Linked DNA regions of Arabidopsis thaliana. The protein of the gene in region 2 interacts with the protein of the main gene of each other region in a pairwise test. Each region holds a gene or a part of one and is shown on either strand. Other genes may lie near its edges.

What was found. Proteins that work in one complex are often made in the same cells at the same time.
Region 1: the proteins of ATPC1 (region 2) and AT5G44520 interact in a two-hybrid assay, tested with the Arabidopsis thaliana proteins (one large-scale study listed by BioGRID).

What each region holds. Positions count from the first base shown.
Region 1 is NC_003076.8:17,934,934-17,938,692, forward strand, and holds the start of AT5G44520 (NagB/RpiA/CoA transferase-like superfamily protein), read right to left. Parts: upstream 1,622-3,759; 5' UTR 1,599-1,621; coding exon 1,368-1,598; intron 1,231-1,367; coding exon 1,103-1,230; intron 806-1,102; coding exon 736-805; intron 653-735; coding exon 545-652; intron 459-544; coding exon 363-458; intron 279-362; coding exon 222-278; intron 123-221; coding exon 5-122; intron 1-4. Other genes in the region: AT5G44530 (Subtilase family protein), read left to right, coding at 2,998-3,209, 3,300-3,459, 3,548-3,759.
Region 2 is NC_003075.7:2,350,397-2,354,155, reverse strand, and holds ATPC1 (ATPase, F1 complex, gamma subunit protein), read left to right. Parts: upstream 1-2,137; 5' UTR 2,138-2,273; coding exon 2,274-3,395; 3' UTR 3,396-3,658; downstream 3,659-3,759. Other genes in the region: AT4G04650 (RNA-directed DNA polymerase (reverse transcriptase)-related family protein), read left to right, coding at 44-167. UniProt on the Arabidopsis thaliana protein: Produces ATP from ADP in the presence of a proton gradient across the membrane. The gamma chain is believed to be important in regulating ATPase activity and the flow of protons through the CF(0) complex.

The DNA.
Region 1 (3,759 bases), on a different chromosome or scaffold from region 2:
TTACCGAGGCTTCGAATCGGAGTTGTAAATATAACATCAAGAATGTTGTGACCATCACTGGTAACTATAGGAAAGTCTCCTCCAAGAGGGCCTTCATTTTCAACAGAAGCTCTTCTCCACACCTTTTCCACCAAGTAAAATACAATGACTCAAACAAGGCTTGACACAATCGATAGAACCAAAAGCCCGAGAAAGCATTTATGAAAGAAGCAGATTCACACCTCTGCATCGCCTAGATACAAGTCATCTATCTCCTCAGCTATGGCCAACCAATTAAGCTGCAATCAAAGTTCAAGGAATAAAAGTTTTGAATCATATCACCAAGGGATTAAAACGAAGTTCATCAGTAGAAATTTACTTACAGATTGAACTAAAACAGGGATAGAACCTTCAAGACCGGCTTTGTATTGTTCTTCCTTTATCATGAAGACTGCCTCATCAGCTACTTTTACAATAGACTGTATTGTAAAATCTCTCTTTTGTCAGCCCAAAGCTAAGCAATGAGTATTCAAAGACTGCAAAAAGTACACGAAACTGCATACACCTTTTGTTTCAGAATATAGTCATCTTCCTGTGAACTTCTCCGCCGTCCAATAACTGCAATAAGCGTATTCTCTTCTACAGCATCAGCATCATGAAATGCAAAATCAATCTACAAAAGTGTCACACTGCAAACATTACCCCTAGATGCAGAAATAGATCAAACCGCTTTAGAAAACACAGAGAAGCAGCTACCTGAACACCATCCCGGTAATATTCCAAGGGGATTCCATACTTTGCTGCTTCACTCGCACTTCGAGCAGACCTGAAAAAGGGTCAGGACAAATCATCATGAAGCCTATCAAAACTCAACTCGTAACATAAAAGATTGAATATAGAGAGATCAACAACTGAACAAACAAAAAGATTGATACTTTATTTGGAGTCATAGAAGATAACCAGCAGCAGAATCAGAATCAAAAGACTCACATTGGTACACCAACAACAAAATCATTATCGAAGAACTAATGAATAGGGAAATTCAACAACTGAACAAACAAAAGATTGATTTTTTATTGGATTCATAGTAGATAAACATCAGAGAGAGAAGCAAAAGACTTACATTGGTACACCAACAACATTATGTAAAGAACCAGAACCAAGTTGTTGACCCAAATAACGTATAGCAAAATCTGAAGCTTCTCCAGATCCTAAACCAATAATCATCCCACTCTTTACATAATTATCCACCTGAAAACATTACCAGACAAAAGTTTTGTAATCAAGTATCAATCTTTCTTCAATTTTATGAATTTTCAACACAATTTCAAACAATACCCATTTGAAATTGAGTTTCAAGGATTCAATTTTCCCGATTTAACCCTTACAGTGTGATGAGCTGCTCTGAGAAGAGGAGAAACCTCCGGAGAAAGACTGGCGCAAACTGGAAAACGTTTGAAATTACGACGGCGCGTGAAAACCACGGACGACGAGAGTGAAAATGGAGTTGATGCTGTCGCAGTAACCATTTTTTTTGTGTGGGAAGAACGATTTGAGTCACTGAGTCGTGACTCGGTGGTTTTTACCGCTCTTATCTCCCGATCAGTTTTGTGGTGCATGTGGAGTACGAACTACGACGATATTACACGACCATTTTCTTTTTGGAGAATTACGAAAATAGGCTAAATTATATATATTTTGTTCCAAAAAAAATGATAAAATATATATTAAATATTTATTTTCATATAATTTTATAATTTTAAAGCAACACATAAATTACTAAGTTCCAAATATTATTTTTGAATTTTTAAACCTAAATTTTAAATTCTAACTATATCCTTAAATTTTATTTTATGGTCTTTGAGCTAATCCGTTTTTTTTTAATCTAATGTTAAATTATATTAGAAAAAAAACATCGGTTTTTACAACAAGTACGACAAAATTTGAATTTGAGAAAAAACTGAAATTTGAAAAATTAAATAAATTTTTAACTTCTAGAGGCAAACCACATTTAGAGTCCTCTATGATATCTCCTATCTCCTAAAGTCTGATAAAGGAAAGAGTGTTTCAGGTTTGCTTATCAATCCAACGAATTAGTCGAGCTGTCTGTCGTATTAGAATTCTCCCCATGTCTTCTACCATTTTGTTCTCGCCAAATGGTGTAGACTGACACTACATATCACATTTGTGACGTATTAAAACTATATATCACATTTATGATTACGATAAACAGTACCTATCAATTTTACGATACAGTTCTCTGCAACATTAAAATCCACAATGGACGGTTATGCATATACGATATATTTTGATGAAAATGTTTTTCTCAAACGGTTCTACAAATACGACATTCTCTAGATGAACATGTTCTCCATGAAAACGAATAACTCTACGTGCCACATTCTACAACCTTTCATTAAGTATACATCCACTAATTGGCAAGAATCTACACTTTTTGGGAATCAAAACCCTATCTTGTATCATTTTGGATATCTTATTAGTATTGACGATCCAACGAGGAAAAAAATAAATAATTGAAAGAAAACAAAAAGGAGAGTCATTTAAGTTTGATCGCACTTATGAGTGTTCCTTGCTTCCTTTCTCCTCTACTTTAAGCACATGTGGGAACCAAATTCTTCGTAACCACTCAATTTGGCTCACAATTTTTCAATATCCAATAAAAAACAGTTTCATATATTTTCTCGTGAGATTATTCAGTTCTTCCTAATATCTATCTATCTCTATATTACATATATACAATATTATATAAATACGCACTCTTCTTTCACCGACCTCCTTACACCAAAAAGGTGTCAATTCCACTTGTTCACCATGAATATGATTTAATGGGTTCTTCTTCTTTTGCAGCTTTCTTTCTTTTCCTTAAATTATCATTGTTTTAGGTGGGGTTTTAAGTGCTTTCATGACTCATTCATTCTCTGTATAAAACCTAGTGGAAAGTGTTAAATCAAAAACCCTTTTTTCCCACTTTCTTAATTTAGAAGGGAGACGAAAAAAATGGTTAGAGTAATGTTGGTGAGGTTTGGGTTTTTATTACTTATGATCTCTTTTGTGTTTTTGTCTAATAACACTTTGGGACAACAACAAGACGATGATGATGATTCTGCTGTGTACATTGTCACACTTAAACAACCTCCTATTGTCCATCTCTTTGAAGAACAAGAGCTTAAACACAAAAAGTCAAAGTTTACACCAAAATTGCGACCAAGGTACTGATAAAATTCTATTCTTTTTGTTGTCATTAGATTCTCTGTGAAGCTTTAGTTAAACCCTTTTTGTATTCTGCGTTTTTATTATAGGAACAATTCAAGGAAACGTCATGGGAAGTCAAAGATACCATCTGTTGTTCAATCTCATGACTCTTTCTTGAGAAAGACTCTAAAAGGAGAGAAGTATATAAAGCTTTATAGTTACCATTATCTTATCAATGGATTTGCTCTGTTTATTAACTCACAACAGGTAAAAATCTTGAGTTATTGATAATTGTAGAAATAATCTTGAGTTCTTGATCTTGATTTTTTTGTGTTATGGTTTTTCTTTTTTTAAGGCTGAGAAGCTTTCAATGAGAAAAGAAGTAGCAAACATAGTGTTGGATTACTCTGTTAGGACAGCAACAACTTATACTCCACAGTTTATGGGTTTACCACAAGGAGCATGGGTCAAAGAAGGTGGATTTGAGATTGCTGGAGAAGGAGTTATAATCGGTTTTATCGATACTGGGATCGATCCGAATCATCCTAGTTTCAATGACAATGACTC
Region 2 (3,759 bases):
AAAAAAAAATGGTGGAAGATGCCCAAAAAGTTGGTAGCTATAGTGAACCAGAAATAACCGTCTATAAAGCACCCGAAATTGAAGTTAAATTGGATAACTTTAATGAAAAGACTGATATCTATAGTTTCGGGATTGTTTTTTTGAGTTTGGCGCTATTTTGGATCTGACATGGAGAGGGCTCGTACCTTACATAAATACCACCACCACCACCCCCCCCCCCCCTTTCAATAGCTATTGTTGTTTTAGATATATTGATACATCAATGTTTTGTTGTCTAAGTAAGGTATTTGCATTTTGGATTTCGATTCAGGACATTCTGGTTAGGCACGGTTTTGATTCATTTCATAATCGACTTGACACAAATTGCGTGGATGGTGCCGATTTTGTGACCTAAATACTAACATCAAATTTTGTGACCTAAAAGAAGTCTTATATATTTTGAAAGTTGCATTATCATCATTCCATTTCAAAGAAATAAAAAAGAAAGAAAATAAAATAATCAAACCCTTAAAAGAACTTACTCATTTCTTGCATATTACATATGAGTAGCAATTTGTATTGCCTTTCCACTAAGGATCTACCTCTTTTAGGCAACTGAAAATGTTGAATTTGATGGATCATAATCTTCATTGTACTTAGGGTGGTCAACTCATTTTAAAGTCAGTTCTGGTGTGATGTGTAATCTTTGTTTGGTTGGGCTTTTATAACTCGAGCAACGAGTTCATATTAATACGGTGCAGATTTTACATAGATTGTTACTATAACCCTAAATCCAATAAGGTGTATGACTCAACATGTTCAGCATCCTTAATGTTCTATTATTTGAAATGGTGGACGAGTATGCAATAATTGACGGAAAGAATAATGAGCTTTACTTCATGTAAGCATCAAAGATTCATAGGTCGATTTGATCCTTAAGAGATGAATAGAATGTCACTAGATTGTTGGTGATTAATAAAGATGATATTAGTTTGTACAAATCCATGAGAAACTGAGCGTACGTAATAATATGTTTGGTGATGAAAATAAAACAAAACAAATAAAACTAAGAACTTGTTTATAGCAAGAGGTTGGGAATTTTTGTGGTTTCTGTGTGATTTCGGTATGTTCTTGTAACAATAAGCATATTCCAAAATATGTATCCGGATGTAGTTGAAGATACAATAATATATAATTTTAACCAAAAAGAAAACTACAATTTTCATGATAAAATTAATATTTTATTGATTTTAATATATAAACATCTTATAATTAATTTAATGAATAAAATTTTATAAATTTTTATATCTATAATTTAGTTAATTCTTATTATATGTTTATTATTTCGTTCTAATTTCTAACCAAATATTAGTTTTTAATATTTGTTTTGATCTGTAGAATTATTTTATCGGAATTTTTGGAATAAATCGAAGCAATTAACAAATGAAACCATTGTTGTTAGTTGTTACACTATATGATTTTTTCGTTATAACCAAATATTTGTTTTTCTCTATAAAGTTTTGCTTATCAAAAAAATTTTGGAGAAAATTGAAGCAATTAACAAATTAAACCAGATTAAAAAATATATATATATACATATATATATATATCATTTTAAGTCTCTTGTAAGGTAATTTGATTGGTATATATATATACTAATGGACCAAAACCATACCAAAGAAATTAAACCAAACCTAATTACTCTAATTTCTATCCTTTGTCAGATATTTTCTCTCGTTGGGGTCAAAAACTCATAAAATAAAAAAGCAATTAACAAATCAAACCAGATTACAAATTATATATATATATATATATATATATATATATATATCATTTTAAGTCTATTGTAAGGTAATTTGATTGGTATATATATATACTAATGGACCAAAACCATACCAAAGAAATTAAACCAAACCTAATTACTCTAATTTCTATCCTTTGTCAGATATTTTCTCTCTTTGGGGTCAAAACTCATAAAATAAAAAAGCAATTATTGGTTGGCTGATAAACAATTACAAAGAAGTAAGATATATACCACACACCCCAAAAAAAAAAAACATTGAAGATATCGAACCATCCACTAATACAACGCCACGTCAACAAAAAGAGGATCCCACAATTTGCAGACTCCAAATAGCAAATGTAAAACCTTATCTCCAAACCTAATCTCATCACCTTCTCTTCCCTCCACTCAAATCTCTCCTCTCTTCTTTCTTCTTCTTCAATACAATACAATCAAAAGAACAGAGAGATAAGGTTAGAGCAAAACACTGTCTGAAACAAACAACAAAAAAATGGCTTGCTCTAATCTAACAACAATGTGGGTTTCATCAAAACCATCTCTTTCTGCTGATTCATCTTCCTTATCATTCCGATCTGTTCTCAAGTGCCCAACTAACACTTCCTCACCTCCTTCACGAGCTTCCTCTGTTTCACCACTCCAAGCGTCTCTTCGTGAGCTCAGAGACCGTATCGATTCAGTCAAAAACACTCAAAAGATCACCGAAGCTATGAAGCTTGTCGCTGCAGCTAAAGTCAGGAGAGCTCAAGAAGCTGTTGTCAATGGACGACCATTCTCAGAAACCCTAGTTGAAGTTCTTTACAACATCAACGAACAGCTTCAAACCGATGATGTCGATGTTCCCTTAACCAAAGTCAGACCGGTTAAGAAAGTAGCTCTCGTTGTCGTCACCGGTGATCGTGGATTATGTGGTGGATTCAACAATTTCATCATTAAGAAAGCAGAGGCAAGAATCAAAGAGCTTAAAGGTCTAGGTCTTGAATACACAGTCATTAGCGTGGGCAAGAAGGGAAATTCTTATTTCCTCCGTCGCCCGTACATCCCCGTCGACAAATACCTAGAAGCCGGAACTTTACCTACGGCTAAAGAAGCTCAAGCTGTGGCTGATGATGTCTTCTCTCTGTTTATAAGTGAAGAAGTCGACAAAGTCGAGCTCTTGTACACAAAGTTTGTCTCTTTGGTCAAATCAGAACCCGTGATCCACACGCTACTGCCTTTATCACCTAAAGGAGAGATCTGTGACATTAATGGAACCTGTGTGGATGCTGCGGAAGATGAGTTTTTCAGGTTAACGACAAAAGAAGGGAAATTGACAGTTGAAAGAGAGACTTTTAGGACACCAACAGCTGATTTCTCGCCGATCTTGCAATTCGAGCAAGACCCTGTTCAGATTCTTGATGCTTTGTTGCCTCTGTATCTTAACAGTCAGATTCTTAGGGCATTACAGGAGTCATTGGCTAGTGAGCTTGCAGCTAGAATGAGTGCAATGAGTAGTGCTTCGGATAATGCATCGGATCTCAAGAAATCGCTTTCGATGGTGTATAATAGAAAGCGTCAAGCTAAGATTACTGGAGAGATTCTTGAGATTGTTGCTGGAGCTAATGCACAGGTTTGATTTGTTTTGAACCCTCTTTGAATCTTCTATATGAGTCCAAAACTCTCTTCTTCTTCTTTTTTTTTCGTTATCGTTTGTATAATGTATAATTGATAATCTCTAGAACTCTTTATAATCATGCAATTACAAACAAAAACGCGGTTGTATCTATTTTGGCTTTTCATTGGATAAAATGATGGAGATCTTCGTTGAATATTTGTGGATGATGAAGAGTTTTTGTAGGATCCTTTGGAGGAATAAGATTTTGGTTTCTTTGGTTGTTAGTTGTGAATCCTTTTCCATTGTTGTTATGACTAAGGATCTTAGTTAGGGACAACATTGAATCCTTTTGTTCACCCCATCTTTCAAGATTTCATAAGACTTT